Neurospora crassa OR74A: one gene and its partners. The protein of the gene in region 1 interacts with the protein of each later gene in a pairwise test. Links are inferred from orthologs where the notes say so. Each region holds a gene or a part of one and is shown in the gene's direction. Other genes may lie near its edges.

What was found.
Region 2: the proteins of NCU04293 (region 1) and NCU03319 interact in binary tests that used the Saccharomyces cerevisiae proteins (3 or more experiments, as listed by UniProt). The link is inferred for Neurospora crassa OR74A from reciprocal best matches to the Saccharomyces cerevisiae genes ERV41 and ERV29.
Region 3: the proteins of NCU04293 (region 1) and NCU04404 interact in binary tests that used the Saccharomyces cerevisiae proteins (3 or more experiments, as listed by UniProt). The link is inferred for Neurospora crassa OR74A from reciprocal best matches to the Saccharomyces cerevisiae genes ERV41 and SEC26.

What each region holds. Positions count from the first base shown.
Region 1 is NC_026505.1:5,524,007-5,530,903, reverse strand, and holds NCU04293 (COPII-coated vesicle protein), read left to right. Parts: upstream 1-3,234; 5' UTR 3,235-3,846; coding exon 3,847-3,931; intron 3,932-4,023; coding exon 4,024-4,614; intron 4,615-4,710; coding exon 4,711-5,174; 3' UTR 5,175-5,364; downstream 5,365-6,897. Other genes in the region: SAD-2, read right to left, coding at 1-689, 768-1,138; NCU04292 (branched-chain-amino-acid aminotransferase), read right to left, coding at 6,267-6,434, 6,503-6,897. UniProt on the Saccharomyces cerevisiae protein: Constituent of COPII-coated endoplasmic reticulum-derived transport vesicles. Required for efficient transport of a subset of secretory proteins to the Golgi. The C-terminal Ile-Leu motif is required for exit from the endoplasmic reticulum.
Region 2 is NC_026501.1:5,293,248-5,300,183, forward strand, and holds NCU03319 (COPII-coated vesicle protein SurF4/Erv29), read left to right. Parts: upstream 1-3,524; 5' UTR 3,525-3,939; coding exon 3,940-4,103; intron 4,104-4,180; coding exon 4,181-4,293; intron 4,294-4,373; coding exon 4,374-4,867; intron 4,868-4,939; coding exon 4,940-5,077; 3' UTR 5,078-5,454; downstream 5,455-6,936. Other genes in the region: NCU03318 (hypothetical protein), read left to right, coding at 1-658, 725-908; ada-4 (all development altered-4), read right to left, coding at 6,435-6,936. UniProt on the Saccharomyces cerevisiae protein: Constituent of COPII-coated endoplasmic reticulum-derived transport vesicles. Required for efficient transport of a subset of secretory proteins to the Golgi. The C-terminal di-lysine motif is required for exit from the endoplasmic reticulum.
Region 3 is NC_026504.1:3,469,502-3,476,837, forward strand, and holds NCU04404 (coatomer beta subunit), read left to right. Parts: upstream 1-3,253; 5' UTR 3,254-3,691; coding exon 3,692-3,993; intron 3,994-4,058; coding exon 4,059-6,481; intron 6,482-6,549; coding exon 6,550-6,698; 3' UTR 6,699-7,053; downstream 7,054-7,336. Other genes in the region: NCU04405 (mago nashi protein), read right to left, coding at 2,091-2,231, 2,294-2,381, 2,444-2,507, 2,567-2,662, 2,746-2,783, 2,851-2,888. UniProt on the Saccharomyces cerevisiae protein: The coatomer is a cytosolic protein complex that binds to dilysine motifs and reversibly associates with Golgi non-clathrin-coated vesicles, which further mediate biosynthetic protein transport from the ER, via the Golgi up to the trans Golgi network.

The sequences.
Region 1 (6,897 bases):
GTGTAAAGAACCCCATATGTGGTTTTCCGGCCGCAGAAAGATAAACCATGGAGGGTACAAGCGTTCTGTCAGGCAGACGTGTTGGATTAGGAAAGTCAACTTCGCATTTGAAGAGAACGTTAGGCAGCTCCGGCGAAAGTGGAGAAGATTCATTCCCTGAAGGGGGAACAATATGTTCATTGCCCAAAAACAGGAGTTGCTGACTTGCTGGGCCTTGAGTGGTGGACGTAGACGGTTGTCGGATCCTCGCGGAGCTTTGGCGTAAATCAGTTGACGCGGTAGCTAGGCCAGGCTGTGTTTGAGCCTGGTTGACAGGTGGATGACGGGGTCCTTGACTGATAGTTGCGTGGCGAGTTGACTGGACCGAAGTAGCTCGACAGGTTTCTTTGATAGGCGGAGTAGAAGATGCACAAGACGCAACTGGAACCCGGGAAGACGAAAGTCCTTGACTAGAAGGGACTTGTTGAAGGGGCTTTGTGGTAGCCAATGGATGGGGTGATGTAGGAGATGGGCGGTAGTTTGGGGGGAATTGCCTGACCGGCTGAGATGCATGGTAAAGGACACCGAGAGTGGATGTTTTCATGTCTTTGCTAATGTTGATTTTTCTGCTTGGGGGTATCTCGCGTCCGCGGCCATGGTATTGTTTAGCAAGGCGGCTGTCCAGCTCGGGGTTCAATACTTTTTGAGCACTATCATGGCAAGGTCAGTCGAAAATTCAACACAAAACACAAGCATGCATGCAGTGTTCAGAATGGATCAATACGTACTGATCTCTGACGCCACGAACGAGGCGGCTAGCCAAAGCGCTGACTTCCTGCTGGCGGGTGGCATAGATTCTTCCGCCTCCAAGATCATCAAGTTCTCGCACAGCAATAGCGTCATCATCGTTGAAAACGCCCTGTCGTTGGGCCTCTGCCCAGATATCAGACACAGCGGGAGCAGGTCGAGGCATAGTAAGACCAGAGTGTCCCCGGCCATCATGACGACCATGACGAGGAGGGAGGTCAACATCCTCCAACGGAAGGTTTTCGACGCGAGCAGTGCCGAGGTCATCCATCATGGCCTTTGCCAGAATGGCTTTTCTCTTCTGCTCCTCTTCGTCGGCGGCCGATTGGCCATTCTTGTCGCGGTCCGTCATGTTGGATCCGCGACTAGAACCGCCTGGACTGGATAGCGCAATGCTAGTCATCAGTTGTTAGTGACGCAGAAAGGTGTGCGCTTCTGTTAATATACGCACCGAGTATAGTACGTGTGCTCTGGACGCGTCCAGCCTTGGAAGTGTGTAGAGTGTACGCTGTTGGGTATGCTACCGGATGGTGACTATTCGACGGCGAGCCAGCTGAGACAGAGCGAAAAAGAAATTGCTAGTTTTAGGTACTGGCTTCGTGGGAGAGAGTCATGACACCGATGGAAGGAGAGAGAAGCGTGACCTGATGATTGGCAAATTTCCGAGAAAGAAAATCTGACACAAACCTTGGGTGAAGGGAGGTAGGAAGGACGGGGAAGGTAGTGGAGTGAGCGGGTCCAGGTACGTCGTACCTTCCCCTCGAGAGTATGTTTGCTTGCGTGAGTGGGGGATGAGAAAGTACTCACGGAGCCCTTCCGCGGGTTGGAAAGGTAAGTAGAGCAAGAGGTACCTTTAGGTACGGCGGGGAAACCTTCTTGGCAGGTACTGCTTGTCGTAGGAGTTACGGAGCTGAAGGCGGGAAGATGCCGGGTTCCCAGCTGAGCGGGAGTGCTTCGATGGCTGGTGGGGAGGTAACTTCCAGATAGAGCTGCAGGAGGGATGAAGGTTGATATTTGTTCGAGGAGAGGAAGGGACCTGGTGAGCGCGCTGCATTGATAGCGGGATGTCAAAGAAAGTTGCCTCCAGCTATCTTTTTGAATCCATTCAGGAGACGAGAAAGGCCAGAACCTCCCGTCAAAAGAATGTCAGGATTCAGTCAACGAGATGTTGGGCAGGTGCAATAAAGATGTTTGTGGATATGACAATGGGCCTGAGGAGTTTCCTGGGCATTATCCCATTGGGTTCTATGGCATCGATGGCAATGAGCAGTACCGTATCTGCCAACGATAAACTCTCCATCATTCAGTAGCAACGATTTAAGAAAGTGGTTGACCGCGCGGCGGTCTGCCCGTCCGTTTTTGATTATTGTTTGTTATCGCGAACAATAATGGATGAAATTACCTGAAATGGTGCTTCTCCAAGCGAATAGAGGGAACTGAAAAATTAACAGGTCAAAATGTATGGCATCTTACATAGGATACATCAAGTGTAACACAATACGAAGCTCTCCATCTGACTACTATCCTTTTTGTTCTAACGTGACGACTTTTACAGGTTGCGGATACAGTCCAGGACTTGTTTCTTTGTTGGATTGATACATGTCCTCAAAGACAGCCGTTCCAACAACCTTAAACATGCCTAACATATTTTCGATATGTAAACATTCATCAGAATCATCACGGGTATCCAAGATAGCACACTGAAAGTACGGCTAGGTCATCTTCATCAAAATGGGGGGCTAACTGGATAGGTACAGAAGCGCTTGGATATGTTAACCAAGAGATTTAAACCAATTAGATTTCCATGGGAGTGTTGTACAAACACACCACGCCTACACCTCGTATCCATAAAGTCCGGACTCCCTTGAACAACATGGACACAAAGCCAATACATCAGAGACCAAGCCTTGAACGGCCAACAATGCTATGAGGTACACGAGAAGGACGGACAGTTACGGAGTCATAACATTCAAAAAGGGAGACGGGTTTGAAAACGGATTACTGCCGTGATAGGAGTCGTTGAGAGCACGTAAAGATACATAGAGATCGTAACCAGCACCGTGATATATGCTCGGAAATTCAAAGAAAGACAACTGGACAAAACAAAGGGTCTAGAGAATTGGACCTGTAATCAGGCACGTAGGAACCCTCAGAAAATATCCTGAATTCTCGTCAAATGCCGGCGAAGAAGTTGTTACTAACACCAGACGAAATGTCATGTAACGGTAACGGAGTGATGTTGTTGACGACGATTCAGGGGTAAAGCAAGGCAGGCCTGTCAGGGTCAGGGTTAAGTATGGCAAACGGGTTCCCGCCAGCCATGCGCATGCTCGAGCTAATTCCAGCGTAGTTCCCGTAACAGGCCCCTGTCAGGCACACAGGGATCTACGGCCAAACGCCAAGCCACGGCGGATCGTTTCGCGGGGACCAACGTCCACTTGTCCTCATCGATGAATGTCCTCCGAATGGCACCTCATCCATGCAAGGGAACGAACGCCCGGTGTCTTTCAGCCGCCAGGATCACCACCCTTTTTCCATAGAACTTGCTTCTGCTTTCTTCAGTGTTTGGTGTACTAGTACATAGCTTGAATCTTCATCCTCTTTCTTTCCACAGCAGGGACTGAGTGGATTTGTTTAGTCCAACGAACCGAGCCAATCCTCGCGAACCGGATGACGAATTAGCTGAGTGGGCGCATTCGCAATTTCCCCCAAAGGACAAGAGCTACCTGCAGCAGTAGCCGGCTGTGTCCTTCCGGAACTACACCATCGGGTCTCGACGACAAAGTGCTTTTCGAAAAAAACACCAATGCGGTAGCTCAGGATCAGAAATCCGCTGTAGATTGGAATCGAAAAGAAATTCAAAACGGAAAACAGTGGTCACTGTCACCACCAACCGACAGCTTGGGTTGCCGCCGCCGCCCTGACAAGTGGCAGAGGAAGAAGGGGGACCAACAACACCGGCACGGATTGCAGTGCTGAATCGCATCCAACATACGAAACCAGACATATTTACCTTTTCGCAACTCCGGTTACGATACACAAACACATACACGCATAAAGATGAACGGCTACGACGAGAAGCGTCAACTAGACGAAGACGCCTTTGGCGCCAAGGGGAGCATAGTCAGCGCCTTTGACGCTTTCCGTACGTCCCTCCCTCCCCTCCCTCCCACATCCAATGCGCTTTCATACATCTTCAAATAAACTAACATGAAAGTCCTACCTACTACTACACAGCCAAATCCAAACCCCAATACGTAACCCGCACCACCGCCGGCGGCAAATGGACCGTCTTCGTCGGCCTCATCTCCTTCATCCTCTTCTGGTCCGAAGCCTCCCGCTGGTGGCGCGGCTCGGAATCGCACACCTTTGCCGTCGAAAAGGGCGTCTCCCACGCCCTCGACATCAACCTCGACATTGTCGTCAAAATGAAGTGCCAAGACATCCACATCAACGTGCAAGACGCGGCCGGCGACCGCATCCTGGCTGCCTCCCGGCTGCATCGCGACCCGACGGTGTGGCAGCACTGGGTCGACAACAAGGGGATTCACAAGCTGGGACGGGACGCCCAGGGCAAGGTGGTTACGGGCGAGGGGTACATGCAGGGGCAGGGGCATGACGAAGGGTTTGGGGAGGAGCACGTGCATGATATTGTTTCTTTGGGCAGGCGGAAGGCCAAGTGGGCGAGGACGCCGCGGTTGTGGGGGGCGACGCCGGACAGCTGTAGGGTGTTTGGCAGTCTGGAGTTGAACAAGGTCCAGGGCGACTTTCATATTACGGCCAAAGGACATGGATATATGGAGTTTGGCCAGCATTTGGATCATTCTGGTTTGTTTTCTTTTCTCTTTCTCTTACCTTTGCCGAAACTTCAACCATCCAACTCTATTTTCCACAACAACAGCTACTAACAACAACAAAAAACAGCATTCAACTTCTCCCACATCATCTCCGAGCTCTCCTTCGGCCCCTTTCTCCCCTCCCTCGTCAACCCGCTCGACCAAACCGTCAACATCGCCTCGGCCAACTTCCACAAGTTCCAGTATTTTATTTCTGTCGTCCCCACCGTCTACTCGTCGTCAGGCAAATCCATCGTCACGAACCAGTACGCCGTCACGGAGCAGTCGCAGGAAGTCACGGAGCGCATCATCCCGGGCATCTTTGTCAAGTACGACATTGAGCCGATTCTGCTGCACATCGACGAGGAACGGGATTCTTTCCTGGTTTTTATCATCAAGGTCGTCAATGTCATTAGTGGTGCGCTGGTGGCGGGTCATTGGGGGTACAGGATTAGTGATTGGTGTCAGGAGGTGTGGGGGAAGAGGAGGAGGAGGGCCGGAGGGCCGAGTGAGGGTATGTTGGGTGGGAAGGGACATGAGCGTGATGATTAGTTGTAGGTGGGAGAAAAACCAAAATGTGGTGGTTGTGGAGGACAGGTAGAGTGTGAAAGAGAGAAAGATAGACGGATGTAGAAGAAATTGGGTGAGACGTCGAGATTGAGTTGGAAAGATCTACAGAATTTTCAGGTTTTCACAGCGTTGGTAGCGTCTATATTTACACGTTCCGTTATTTCGTCTTATGTCCATGTCTGTGTAACCTGGAAGCGATGCTGTGATTGCCGCTGTTAGTAGTACTGCTAAGGTTTGGTAAGGTTTGACTGAGCCTTAAAACGACCTCATGTCTATTTAACCGGTGGTAGACAGGTAGATAAGGAAGTAGTAGATTAACTGCCTGTCCTACCTTCCCAGCCGTGTTGCATATCAAAGGTCCTTGCACCACACATATTTCATAAACGGAACAGAGTTAATCTTTGTTAACTTTATTCGCTCTTCCGGGTATACAGACGCTTCTATAAAAAAAGACGAAGAAATCTCTCTACTCTTATCATCCCCTCCAGGGAATATGTCGAAAACCCAAAACGCCCAAATGTGCCGCTCTTTTTCTTCCCTGCATGCTTTTGATGTTTTTAATTTTGCTTTCGCTTCTTTGGAAAGCACTTGAAATGCAAAATTTATCCTCTTTGGCGTATGGCTCCATGCACTCGCATATGCGAATGCTATGCATACCGGGTACCATCATCCGTACGTTTTGTTTTTTGTTGTTGTTCAGTTCTCTACACCTCCACTCTAGATAGGCGGTCGTCCTTCTTTGTAGTGGTCGATGAAAGGCAAAAGGAGCGAGCGAGGTTTACTCGCGCTTTGCCTCCTCATTCTGCTCTCTCTTCCTCTTTTGGCCAGCGACAGCCTCATCCCTGTTTATATCAAGTGTCGTGTGAATAATCCTTGTCCTTTTCCCAACTCTTTTGCAAAGCAAACGCTTGGTTTCCAAAAACAATCAAATGACAAGAGACATTGCACAGCGACAAAAAAAAGAGAATCCAGAAATCCAGTAAGGGGGGGCCGGAGTTGGAAGATCCCTCGCTCGCTAGAGTCGATGGTCCAAAGGGGGGGTATCAGATCGCTATGTGGGTGTATTGGGCAGGCTTACTCCTCGTTGATGACGACACCCCACTCGTGCTGCTCGTTGCCGTACATGATGTCCTTCATCCAGGACTTGATCTTGGTGGTATAGACGCCGGAGTCGTTCTCGCCGAGAGGGATGTGGACGTCGGTGCCACGGTGGTGGATCTGGGAGACAGGGGCGATGAAGAACTGTAAACGGCAAAGTTAGTACGTGCTTGGGCGGAAAGATGAGCTATGGGGGGGAAACAGTAACATACGGCAGTACCGGCGGCGAAAGCCTCAACAATGCGGCCCTCCTTGTCAGCCTCGATGACCTCATCGATGGTGTAGCGGCGCTCGACAACCTCGACCTCGCCAGCAAGGCGGGCCTTGGCGAGCTCGAGGACGGAACGGCGGGTGACACCGTCAAGGATGAGCTTATCGTCAAGAGGAGCAGTCAGGAGCTGGAGCTTGCCACCCTCGGACTCCTTGGCGCGCCAGACGATGAAGAAGTTGGAAGCACCAGCCTCAGTGCAGTAAGCCTCCTTGCCGTAGAGCCAGAGGATCTGGTGGAAGCCGCGGGCCCTGGCCTCGTTGGTAGCGAGGAGGGAAGGACCGTAGTTAGCACCGACCTTGGCGTAGCCGAAACCGCCAACCCAAGCGCGGATCATAT
Region 2 (6,936 bases), on another chromosome or scaffold:
CTTCCTGTTCAACCCATAAAATGATCGGTGTCATCAACCCTAACGCTACGCACTCATGGGATGCTCAACGGAAGTACGCAGAACAAGTGACATACGATCTAAAGCCGGGAGAGACATGGAAGGCTGAAGATCCAAACTATGGAAAAGAAGATGGAAGCAAAAAGTCGGGCCTTAGTGCCGGGGCCATCGCGGGAATCGCTATCGGCGCGGCCGCCGTGGTAGCCATTGCCGCTGCCTTAGTCTTTTTCTGCGGTCGAAGGGGAGGGTTTCAAAAGGCCTATCGCAAGAGCGCCATTCATCCGCCGGCACCCGGTACCGATGCCGCTGGTGCTCCGACCATGGTAGAGGCACAGTACCACAACCAACACAATCCAGCCAGCCCTGTCCAGACACCGGCAGGCCTGAAGAGTCCCGGCCAAGCCAGCTTCACGACCTTTTCGACTTATCCACACATGGACCCCAGTGACCCGTATCGAAGCATGACGGCGAGCCCTCAGCAGCCTCCATACCCATATGGAACTCCCCCACCACAGCAAAACCCTGGCTCCCCGGGATCTGTTTATGGTTACAATACTTATAACGGACACGCAATGTCCGCGCCTGGGAGCGCGCCTGTACCCGGGCCCAACTCGCCTCTCATGATTGGAGAACTGAGCTCGTAAGTTTTATGTTTCCACAGATGAGAATTGAAAGGTAATTAACCAAGATTCATTCATGCTTCAAGGGTTCCTCACTCGCGTGATGTTAATTATCAAGCTCCGGTTGAGCTTCCAAGCGGAGACGGCACCTCAGTCAGGCCTCCGTCGACGATGCCGGGATCGCCTCCTCCGCAATATGAGAGCGGGAGCAACGAAGGTGCCAAACAGGGTTGGACAGTTGGTGAGGAGAATCAGTTTCAGAAGCGATGAGTGGTAATCTGAATTTGCGGCTGTCAACCGGCAGTTGCTTAACGAATGAAGGACTATAAATGGCACAGAGAGAATTAATGGGAGCGACAATAGGCAAACCTATGCCATGTGTCACTCAAACTCAAATTACGTGATGGTAGCGTTCTGAAAACAAATCCGGCTGCTATTGAGTGGAAATCTGTCAATGTTTTAGATTGCCTAGTTTCTGGTATCCCAAGCTGAATCAAGGACACTTGCTCGATATTGTCGTTTTAATTACTATCAGAGCCTTCGCGACCATACATCACGGCAATTGAGTTTCCTCCTCGAGACTTACATCCTCACATACCTACGTACAGATGACTTACCCAACTTCCAAACCCAAGTCAACGCCTCACTTAATTCAAGTCAAAACCGTACGGTACCCCTCCGACCCTGCGCACACCACCATCTAGACCAACAAAGGTTTAGCCACACCAAACTCAGAAACGGTTCACCAAATTCAGGGAATCGGTCCGTCAGGGAATCTACCACACAAAGAAATGGGCCCTGTCCCGTCCTCATGCTTGTCCCGTTTGTTCCCCATCCCTTTGTTTCCTCACGTTCCATGGGGCCTAGTAACGGAGAACCGGTCAGTAGGAGGCAAACTTCTGAACAGGTTTTCTTCTGCAGGCCCCAGGGCTATAGGGAGAGAGAGAGAGTCTAGGGGGCGTGAGTATGTCTTTGTTCGATTTCCATGCTTCCCGCTTCTTCTTTTGACCCGCTCCCTTGTGGTTAGCCAGCTGATAGGCCTTTTGGCCGAGGAGTTTGAGGAGAGTTTAAGCTTAATTGAGACAATTCAAAAAACAACATTTCTTGCCCTTCTTGACACGCTTAAGGGTGAATGTGGTAAGGTAGGTATCGTTGATGAGAGATGCTACGCGCACTCCAAGGTTTGCTTACGCGCACCCCAAGTTGGAGAAGTATACTCGATGACTTTCAGCCACAACGGTCGGATTGATATGAAATGTGGCGATAAGCACGCACGTGGTCTTAGTATCTAGCATTACCTTTCTCCTATTTTCTTCTTCTTCTTCTCCTTCTTTCTTTCTTTCTTTCTTTCTTTTTTTTTCTTTTTTTTTTTCCTTCCGCGCCTATTTTCCCTTGAACTGACCGTTGAATCTCGTAATCACATTCATGGCGCTGGTCCTTGCAACCAAAATCACACACAGCCACGTTACGACCTTCAAAAACGCTAGACAACTTTAATTGACAGGACTCAACCTACTAGACTAGTTTATTTGATACCAGTTCTAAAACACATGATGAAGGTGTGACTGAAACAAGTCCGTACAGATCTGGTGCTTGGGGTGCGTGCAGGTTTTTCCTGGAGTATGAGTGGGTGTCTTTTCCTGATAAGTGTGGTTGTCTGAGTAGTGATAGACTCTGGTTCGGCAGGGGATAGGGATTCGAGAATACGCGACTGGCGATGCTAGAGGGTTTACCTTTTGAATGTTGATGGGTTGTAAGTCTGTCAGAACTTCGCTGCAAGTGATTTAGCTTGAGCGCTTCAGAACACCGAAGGCCATCGAAGTGAAGGTCTGGCTTAAAGTCTTTCAAATCTTCAAGATGTCTTCGTCTATAAGTACCATGAACTGAGCCCGATAAAGGGAGTAGATATTCCAATGAAATGGTAAATCAACGTGAGAAGGAATCCAGCGGGACCTCTCGCCATCGCCGTAATTAGTCCTCAAGTCCTGGACCCCCAACTCGATGCCGACGTCGCCGTCATGCCGGATTGCGGCAATGGGACAAATTAAGGTTGTGCCTTTGGAGTCGAGCATGCTTCCCATGCGGTGGACACGACAAGACAAACTACCGAGTCCCGTTCCTCACCGAACCGGGCCTAGCGGACGCATGTGTGGATCGGAGAACTACCTTGCCGGCCCGTAATGGAAGCTGAGAAGGCATTGACCCCTGCACTTGTCTGTTATACTCGACCTTGTCAGCATCGTCGCTCGGCTGTGAAAAAAGAGCCTGAAGAGCTTCCTGATTCGTAGTGTAGTCTGATCGGGCTGTTGCATTGAGGAGGACCCTTGCGCAGTTTTGACTTTTTTGCAGCGGGGTTGCGGTAGCATGTTTACTGAATGTCGAGATCGAGGTGAATAGGAGTTAGGAGAAGTGTCAGACACGACGATGAGGCTCCCTTTTTTTCGATCTTGAAGCTATTCCTCGTCTCCAAAAGGGGGAAATTCGGATCAGATCGCACTATCCAAACAGTCGAGATTCGAGAAAGCTAAACCCAGTCGCAGCGTGGGGTCTTTGGCGATCCATCGCTTCCGAGGCTCCATTCTTCCCGTGCCAAAAACAACGGTTGGTTCGTGCGCTCGCTCGCAACAGGCCAGTCCAGCTGGGTGACCTTGGATGCTCGGGCACTCCAGCAGGCAGGGCAATTCGAAACACCGGAAGGTTGACCCGTCGGCCAAGAGTATGGGACCCACAGTTGCCCGCTGTGTGTATTTCCGTTTGAGGATACTTTATTTGAAGGCGTGGCTTCTACTGCAGTGTATGTACTTTGTAACATAGGCTCCCATCACCTTGGCAGCTTCTCGATGAGGCACTTGCAGGAAATCACGGAAAGACATTTGGTTAAGGACACAGTTGTATGTTAATAACCTAGGTACCTGACTGACCTCACCACCGGAGCACTTCCATCTTCAAATCCACCTTGCCTTCAATTGCATCTTCCACCTCTTCAGCTGTCAGTCGGACCTTGACCCTTCACCACCAGGTCTCAATCCGAAAGCTGCTGCGCCTGAATCGAAACGAGGGCCCATCTTCCACTCTCAACCTGAACTTGTACAAGCTCGGTCCCGCATTTATTATTGCTCTCTGGAGTCACCCTGAGCTGGAACCCTCCGTCATCACTCCCATTTCTCGGCGCTCATCCCTCCACAAAACAACATCAACCTGGTTTCGCGATCCAGGAGCAACACCTGTGCTTGACAACGTCTCGATTTCCGACGCCATACTCAGTTGATCAACCAGACCAGACGCGATCGCACCTCACGCAATGGCGCAAATGCGGGGACCCGGCAGCTATGGCATTGGTGCCTCGAGCCCTTTCGGAGGACCCGTCAACGAAGACTCGACCGAGTCCAGCCCTCTCGACGCAATTCGGAAGCAGACGAGCAAGATTGAGGACGTCCTGGATTCTTTTAGCGAGCCCATCAAGCCGTATGTCAGCCCTGGTCGAGGGATGTCTTCTACTGCACGTTAGGGTGTTGCTGCTGACCGAACGGTGGTGTATACAGATACCTCCCCGCCATTGGCCGCTTCTTGATTGTCGTAACCTTCATCGAGGATGCGCTCAGAATCATGACCCAGTGGAACGACCAGCTGCTGTATCTTCACGACTACCGCCATAGTACGTGCCCTTCGAGGGTCCATTAGTCTGCACCTTGCGCACAGCTAGCCAAGCATTTACTAACCATGGATATCCTACAGTTCCCAATGGCGTCACGCACCTCTTCCTTCTCGTCAACGTTATTGCTATGGCCTCCTGCTCCACCCTCGTCATCATCCGCAAGTACTCTGAGTATGCCGTCGGCGGTCTCATCGGCGTTGTCATCACCCAGGCGCTCGGTTACGGACTCATCTTCGACCTCAACTTCTTCCTCCGCAATCTCTCTGTTATGGGCGGTCTGCTTATGGTGCTCTCGGATTCATGGGTGCGCAAGACCAAGGCCTTTGCCGGTCTCCCCACGCTTGAGGAGAAGGACCGCAAGATGTACTTCCAGCTTGCTGGCCGTGTCCTCCTCATCTTCCTCTTCATTGGCTTCGTCTTCAGCGGAGAGTGGACCATCTGGCGTATCATTGTCTCACTCGTAGGCCTTGTTGCTTGCGTTATGGTTGTTGTCGGCTTCAAGACCAAGTTCAGCTCTACTCTTTTGGTTGTCATTCTGAGCATTTTCAACCTTCTGGTGAACAACTTCTGGACTGTAAGTGATTTCTCTTCTAACGGAGACAGCTCTGTTTTAAATCGAACCGCTGCTAACTGTGTGCCATTCTAGCTTCACGAGCATCATCCTCACAAGGACTTCGCCAAGTATGACTTCTTCCAGATTCTCTCCATCGTCGGAGGTCTCTTGCTCCTCACCAACACTGGCCCGGGCCAGTTCAGCATTGACGAGAAGAAGAAGGTTTACTAAGGGGTCCGAAAGACGAGGTGAAGGGGAGAAGGATTTGCGTAGGGGTACATGAGAATCCCTTGCTGATTCGAGCTCGGCAATCAGAGCCAAGCAAGGGTGTTGTCTACATGGGTTTGGAAGCGAAACGAGCAAATGGAGACATGATGGGTATGGCCCGCCACGCCGGTCAATGCTATGTGGAGGGTGATTTGAATCTCATTTGGGAGTTGAAAATACGTCACGGGTACCTAGGAGAAAGTCAGGAATGGGTTATGTGATGTGGTATAATTTTGATCATTAGCGGCGTATAATCCTTTTGGCTGTCTCTATCTGTATGACGGTGCTCATAGTGGAAATCTTGAAAACAAGGCGTTTGTTGCAATGCTCGAAATAGTCCTAAGATGAAAAGAAATGTTCTTCGTAGTTGTTGAGATTTTCCATCGAATCGATAGTGGACCGAGATTTCGCTTCAGATCTCACTCAAATCAGGACTACGTTTCTTCGATACGATCATATACGATACTTTCGAGGATAGTACAATTCGCCTAGGTTAGTTCCATTCGTGTTACTCGCGTGGCCATACAGACCGAACACGTCGGATTCGCTACACTTCTGAATTGGCCTTCACGTAACACGCAATTCGACTTCCAGTAGTCTTTCCAAAATTGCGAGGCACTTCATGGATTCATGGATCAATGCATCCCTGAAAGAATCGAGTTCAAATAGTTCAAGCTTGCCCCAAGACATCTTGCTGTTATGTCATAGCCTTTCATCGCAAGTGACAGGTACTGTACGCAACAATTTGATTCATACAAACCCGCCTGTCCGGCCAATCTCAGTGGAAAACGTGCAAAAAGTGTGTCTAAGTATTATCATGATATATATTATACATATATTTAAAATTTCTCGTTATTTGGGAAAAAAAAAAAAAAAAAGAAAAAAAAAAAAAAAGAAAAAAAAAGCTAAGCTCATGGCGATAGTTGCTAATAGCTAGGTAATAATGGCCACTAGATACTACATTGTATCATACCAAAACCGTTCGAACCAACAGATTCACGTTAGTGAACAATCAGAAATTTTCATTGTTAGAAGCCAGGCTCACCTTTCTTCCCAATCGCAACCCAACGTGACGACAAAAAAAAGGGGGGGTCATTTATACCATCCCCATGTCCATACACCCAAATAATACCTAGTAGTAAACCAGGAAACCTCAGAACTCCACGCTTGGAACGTAACATAACTGTCATGCCATACCAAAGCAACAGAGAACAATGAAGCTTCCGCTTATGTGGGCGTTCAACTCCGTACCCTCCCTCCTAAGCCCTTAACAACGCCCAGAAGGTGAAAAACAAAATATTGCAGAAAAACGGAAAAAAGATCAGGAAATCAACAACCTGTCCATCGCACTCTTCGCAGATGCAATGATCCTCATACCTGGTGACCTCGTCTTCTCTCCGTCCACCTTTCCTTCCATCTTCTCATCCGCCTCGCCCGCCGCCGCCAGCGTCGTAGTTATCCCCGTCGACGCAATCGGCGACGTCGACCTCTCTCTAGCATTCCCGACATCCAGACCCCCGGAAATCGGTGGAATCACCCCCTCCAACTCCCCACTCGCCACCAATGCCTCCAACCTCTCCTGTCGTCTCCTCGACCTCTCCTCCAACCTCGCAAAGATATCTTTGAGTCCGATATGCTCTACCTTCTCGCACGGCTCTTCTTGAAGGCCATTGCCCTTACTCTTGTCCCGGCTACCAATCATACAACCACCATCATCATCACCCAAGCTAATCACCGGCCTCTGACTCGCTGTCCCTGCCGCCCCGCCCTGTCCGTACACATCCAGCTTGAGCATGGCGCGGGCTATCAGGCGCCAGGTTGCG
Region 3 (7,336 bases), on another chromosome or scaffold:
GCGTGTCTGGCTGTCCTGCGTCTCGGTGTTGCGGGTGGAGTAAGGGCTTTTGCGACGATGCAGTGGGATGGAATGTCGATGACAGCGGCAGGTGGGGACGACAAGGAAGGAGTCAGACCAAAGATCTGAGCGGGAGATGTGATCTCTGCGAAAGTTGCAAAGCCGAAGCGACTGGATGTCGATGTGGGAGCTTGTAGGTGTAGTTAGATCCCAGGCTTGAACCAAGCAAGCGACAAGATAGATGTTCTCGGGCCCAACCAATACGTATCGCGACGGGGTGACTGTAGTGCGACCTGACCGTCACTATTACCATCCAACAACCTTGATGGCGGGAGAGATGTCTGAGTGGAGGAACCCCAGGGTCCAGTGCAGCTGAAGTGGATTGCAAGACGACGACTGGAGTCTGGTCCGGGGTGCCATTCAGTGGGTGTGTGTTAGGTATGCAACGTGTAGCGGTCCGCCACTCAGATCGCAAGAACGAACACGTCTTACAGGCAAGATGAAGCAGTCAACCAGAAGCAGGAGGCGACAGAAGCGCTGGCAAATTGGCGGCAGTTGATTTCCACTTGCGTTCGCTGCTGTTGCGAATTCATTGGCTCGATCACCACCAGAAAACTGAAAACCCAAGAACCTCGGGGTTTCGAACTCCCAAAGGAGGAAAATGTCCAAGTAGCAATATGATGTCCAAGAAAAAATATGTGCTGCGATGCGAAACCAGGCGGCAGGTGACAAGCGGGAAGAGAAATTGCTGGACACCTAGGTAGTTTGTTGGTAGGTGTGGTAGCAATGAGATGCAGCTAGGTTATAATATTCGCGGGAAAGCAAAGACGAGGGCAAGGGAATGACGATTTTCTGGGTCGAGTGATGGCGTTCTGCCGTCAACAGTCAAGTTGTATCTGTCTAGTAGCAAAACTCCACGGACTCATGCCCGCCTTGTTGGTGGGCACTCCAATGGCCCCGGGTCCGCTCCCATTTTCCACTTTCAACCTTAATTGATGAGGGTGGGTAGGTGGGTGGGCGGTTGATGGGCAGACAAAGATGAAAACTAGCTGGCGGTATCGGCCTCCCGCCTCCATCTTGGGTCGCTCGCTTGCGATTGTACCTCTCGGGGCCAAAACAACACACACACAGGTACAGCATGCGATGCAGTTGCCACCCGCGCACGCCGTGCTGCCAAGCGGGTTGATGTTGACTTCCACTTTGCAGTGCGGGATTGGGAGAAGCGCTGCCGAGCCAAAGCATGCAGTTTGGCGGTGTCGACGGAAGCTTCAGGGGTTCGATAGAGCTTATCGCGGTGGAGATCCTTCACGTCAGTAGCCCCACCGAGGTAACTTCCACTTCCATCTCGAGTGACCCTTCCCGATCCGTCGCACATGCCAGGAACGTCGACGACGAAGGGCTCCAGGATGGACCGAGTTTCACGAAGCATTTTGTACTACTTGGATTTACCATAAACTGAAGCCATTTCGCATTGGATGTGTCTCGGAAGGAAAGTCTACCCCGCGTTACTCGTCAAGCGAAAAGTTACACAGCATAACCGGTCTACCGCCAATAAGAGCCAAAAGTCGGAGAGTTGGATCGATTAACTTCTTACTTTGACATGTGCGGACCTTGTTACTGCTTTAAAGTTGGTAGCCCAACCTTTTGTCACTTGATCAATCGTGATTCAAGACCAGCCATGGCAGGTCTCTCTTCACATAGAGGTACGAATCGAATTTGTTGTACGAATCGTACAGCGGCATGCTTTTGGTGTGCTTCGTAATGAGATGTCGGTGTTCCATCACTCGGTCTCCGCCTGGCAACTGCATCGGATATCTTGCCTCACACTGCTTGGTTGGTCATCATCAATAGCTGACACAAACAGCCATGACGACTCTTAGGTTCGGGGGCCAGTGGGGCGATTGGTCGATAATGTATACGATTGTGCCAGTCCCGAAGTTATCCATGTTAAATCCAGTTTCAAGAAACCCATCTGCGCCGCCAATAGATAGAAAAGAACGCCTTTATAAAACGCCGCATTATCCCACAAAATCTCTCCTTTCCATGAGTAAGGATATATCAAACTCGGGGTATTCGTTCGTGTCGGAAGATTAAATGGGCTTGATCTTGAAGTGCAAGGCAATGAGACTGAACACCAGCGCCTTGAGGTCCTGAACGAGGTAGTAGAAGACGCGCAAGCCTTCTGGGTCGGCCGAGTCCGTAACATCGTTGATCGATCCGATCTTGGCAGTCTATTTCCTGTATTAGCTCTGAACATTTTGCAGAAATAGATTCCGACACTGGCAAGACGCACCTCGAATGAAATGTGGTCGTTCCCGAGGCGGATCTCCAACTCCTGCTTTCCGTCTTTGTTTTTGGTCGGCCATTTCTCGTCGTCTTCCCTGTTGGCCTGTCAGCAGCCGCTCCATGTTGTTTGTATAAAAGGGTGAACATGATGTCGTACTTCATAATCTCGCTGTCCTTGATGATGCGCTTGATCTCGTCAATGACCAGAGAGCTGACGCACACTAAAAGAGACCCTCGTCAGTATATGGATGTCCACGGCCGGCTAAACAGTGTTTCCTACTCTCTTTCCTGATCAGACTGTCGTTACGGTAGTTGGAGTTGTTGGCATATCGGGCAGTGGCGCTACGTCCGTCGCCGAGGACGCGAAAGTCGAACTCTGTAGTCAAAGGGCGGTAGTTTAGCATCGTGGTCGTGGAAACGTGGGAGCTTGCGTCTCGAGGCGCAAATGGCTGAACACACCTAGGAACTCGTGGCCGAAGCGGCCCGAGTGGCCAGAGCTAAGCCGGCTGTTAGCATGGTGTTTTCAATGTGTGAGTGAATCGAATCCCGTAGGGGTGTACATACTAGTAGCGCAGATAGAAGGGTTCGTTGGCGGCTGACATGGCTGTTTGTTGCTTCTGTCAGTAGTAGGCTTTGCAAGACAAGAGGCAGAGATGCAGCCAGCGGCTTGGTTCCTGTCGCTTTTGGATGGACAACCTTGAAAGTCGCGCCCGCGCGGCCACGCTCCAGTGACATTGGCGGGGCACACGGCCCCACACTTGACCCCAGCTTGGCCCAGGGGCATTGTTTGGGCTCCAAGCTGACTCCGGGTTCACGAGCCTTCCTGACAGCTGGCAATCCGTATCTACACGTGATCCTTCGACTGTTTGGACAAGCTGGCAGATGGCAGACTCGGCCAGGAGATGGAGGCTTGGTGAGGCCGTAAGGGTGTCGGGGGGTCCGTGCTTCGCCGTGTGCTGTTGCGGCCGGCCAGAATGCCACATCTCCCAGGGGCCGTCTCTCGATAGAATTGACCGTCCTATCCACGCTGGCTCTTCCAGACTTCAACAACAAGCACAGGTGATGCTCCGCTCTCTCACCTCGCCGGCGCACTCCAGACAACCCTTTCATTGCGCAGCCGTCTCTTGATTTTCGGCCAACCACGACCCTGTCAGTCCAGGGGGAGGAAACCACATCCAGCACCAAGGCCAGCTCATCGTCACTCTTCAGGAGCTCGAGGCAGCCACTCAGTCCATCCATTTACTAGCACCACGCAACCTACAACGGGGCAAACAACACCTTACCACACCCGCCCCTCTCTAATTTCGATCCGCGACTCCTCTTCAGGACGCCCGGCCAGCTACTTTCTACCAAATTCAATCTCAACTTTAATCAAAGACGGCCCGGCCGCCGCCAGCTCTCCAACATGTCGTTCCTCGAAAATGCCTACAGCTTGGTCAAGGACAATGCCGTCGACGGCACCCCAACCGTGCAGGAGCTCAAGACGCAGCTCGAAAAGGGCACCGACGAGACCAAGATCGAGACCATGAAGCGCATTCTTACCATCATGCTCAATGGCGATCCCATGCCCCAATTGCTCATGCACATTATCCGATTCGTAATGCCTTCTAAATCCAAGCCCCTGAAGAAGCTTCTATACTTCTACTATGAGATCTGCCCCAAGCTTGATGCCCAAGGGAAGCTCAAGCAGGAGTTCATCCTAGTATGGTAAGGCATTCCGTGTCCGTCTGGGCATGCTGGCCCCTCCAAGCTGACCAGCCATTGCCTCGCAGTAACGGCATCCGAAACGACTTGCAACACCCGAACGAGTACATCCGAGGCAACACGCTGCGCTTCCTGTGCAAGCTGCGGGAGGCCGAACTTCTCGAGCCTTTGCTCTCCTCAGCCCGGGGCTGTCTCGAACATCGCCATGCCTATGTCCGAAAGAACGCCGTCTTTGCTGTCGCTTCCATTTACCAGCACTCCCCGTCGCTTATTCCCGATGCTGCGGACTTGATCTCCACGTTCCTCGAAGGCGAAAGCGACCCAACCTGCAAGCGGAATGGCTTCGCCGCCCTTGCCAGCATCGACCACGACAAGGCTCTTCTCTATCTCAGCACCGTCTTTGACGGTATTCCCAACGCAGATGAGCTTTTGCAGTTGGCCGAGTTGGAGTTCATCAGGAAAGATGCTGTTGTCAACACCCAGAACAAGGCGCGCTACCTCCGTCTTATTTTTGACCTTTTGGAAGCTAGTGCCTCGACCGTTATCTACGAAGCGGCCTCGTCGTTGACGGCCCTCACCAACAACCCTGTCGCTGTCAAGGCTGCTGCCAGCAAGTTCATTGAGCTTGCGATCAAGGAGGCGGATAACAATGTCAAGCTTATCGTTCTGGACCGTGTCGATCAACTCCGCCAAAAGAACCCCGGCGTCCTGGACGACCTGACCATGGAGGTGTTGCGCGTTCTCTCTAGCACGGATATCGATGTGCGGAGGAAGGGTCTCGAGATCGCTTTGGAGATGGTCTCCAGCAAGAACGTGGAGGAAGTCGTGCTTTTGCTCAAGAAGGAGCTGTCCAAGACGGTTGACCAGGAGTACGAGAAGAACAACGAGTACCGCCAGCTTCTTATCCACTCCATCCATCAATGCGCTATCAAGTTCTCCGAAGTCGCCGCTAGCGTCGTCGGCTTGCTCATGGACTTTATTGCCGATTTCAACAACAACTCCGCCGTTGATGTTATTAACTTTGTCAAGGAGGTCGTCGAGAAGTTCCCTCAGCTCAGGCCAGCAATCATTGCGAGACTGGTAGATACCCTGAGTGAAGTCCGCGCTGGTAAGATCTACCGCGGTATTCTCTGGATTATCGGCGAGTACTCGCTTGAGGAGAAGGATATCAGGGACGCATGGAAGAGAATTCGGGCAAGCCTGGGTGAGATCCCGATCTTGGCATCCGAGCAACGGTTGCTGGATAATGTTGATGGTGATGCCGAGGAGAAGGAGAAGGAGCAGGTCAATGGCTCAAGGGCAGCGCCGACTGGCTCACGCAAGGTCCTTGCTGACGGCACATACGCTACCGAGACTGCCCTTACCAGCCAGTCTACAGCTGCTGCACGCCTGGAGGCTGTCAAGGCTTCGTCGAAGCCCCCTCTCAGGCAACTTATCCTTGACGGCGATTACTACCTTGCCACTGTTCTCGCATCGACCCTTACCAAGCTTGTCATGCGTCATGCCGAGATCTCCTCGGAAGAGGCTCGCACGAACGCCCTCCGCGCTGAGGCTATGCTCATCATGATCTCCGTCATTCGTGTTGGTCAGTCGCAGTTCGTCAAGGCCCCTATTGATGAAGATTCGGTGGATCGTATCATGAGCTGTGTGCGCTCCCTTGCCGAGTTCACCGCGCACAAGGAGTTGGAGACCGTTTATCTCGAGGATACCAGGAAGGCGTTCAGGGCGATGGTCCAGGTTGAGGAGAAGAAGCGCGCAGCAAAAGAGGCCCACCAAAAGGCAAAGACGGCCACCCAGGTGGACGATGTTTATCAAATCCGCCAGCTTTCCAAGAAGAATGCCACTGATGGGGCTGATGCTTTCGATGCCGATCTCGAGCGTGCCACTGGTGGAGACAACAGCTCGGCTGAGGACCTATCTGGCAAGCTTAGCCGCGTTGTCCAGCTCACCGGTTTCTCCGACCCTGTTTATGCTGAGGCCTATGTCAAGGTCCACCAGTTCGACATTGTACTAGACGTACTACTCGTCAACCAAACAACTGAGACCCTCCAGAACCTTACCGTCGAGTTCGCAACTCTCGGTGACCTCAAGGTTGTGGAGAAGCCGACAAGCCAGAATCTGGGACCCCACGACTTCCACAACGTTCAGTGCACCATCAAGGTCTCCTCCACAGATACTGGTGTCATCTTTGGCAACGTCGTGTATGAGGGTGCTCACTCCACTGATACCCACGTGGTCATCCTGAACGACTTGCACGTCGACATCATGGATTACATCCAACCGGCAACTTGCACTGAGACCCAGTTCCGCACCATGTGGACCGAGTTTGAGTGGGAGAACAAGGTCAACATCAACAGCAAGGCGAAGAGCCTACGTGAGTTCCTGGACCTGCTTATGGCGTCCACAAATATGAACTGCTTGACACCAGAGGCCAGTCTTAAGGGTGATTGCCAGTTCTTGAGCGCCAACCTTTACGCAAGAAGCGTTTTCGGTAAGTTTTCTCGTCATTCGCATAGCACTTTCGGAAATAGCATCGCTAACTTCCCTTCTCTTATTCAGGCGAGGACGCTCTAGCAAACTTGAGCATCGAAAAGGAAGGTGAAGACGGACCCATTACTGGTTTCTTGAGGATACGCAGCAGATCGCAAGGGTTGGCCCTCAGTCTTGGCTCCCTCAAGGCATTGAACAAGATTGGTTCTGCCGCTTGAACAGATTTTCTCTCCGGCTAGATGAGATGAAAAAGATGATGTATGGGGTGATTGGGAGGGTTGTATAGCGATTAATTCATCACTTGATATTCTTTTCACCGTTGTGGTTTGTTTCAGTTGTTGTTATCATAGTCTTTGTTACATTTCCACTAGTTGATGCTTGTGAGAGATTCGGATGAGACTCATGTCACTCTCTTTTGTATGCTTCGATTAATGGCTGAAATGTAAAGGGTTTTCGACATATAGTGTGATGGATGAGGAAGACAAAAGCAGAGGATGAACCCAGAAGCAGGATGAATTATCCAGATGGAAAAATCAGATATAGACACAAAATCAATCCTTGACAGAAAACCAGCCAGGTGTGATTAATGCCATCCTCAGTCATCAGTCAGTGGATCTCTTAGACAAGCTCAAACAGACACGCGCATTATTCTCATTCATATATAGTCACCCATAACTTCGTCCACCATCCCTTCCATCACTCATTTCCTCCTTCCACTGCGGTCTCTTATCCATTCCTTTCTCCACGGCATGATTATGCCATACGACCCTTCCCCCACCCAGAGCACAAACTTGGGTACAAAAGTAAAGATTAAACAGTAGTAAAAGTAAAAAGTAGAAAGTAATTGCTCGGCGAT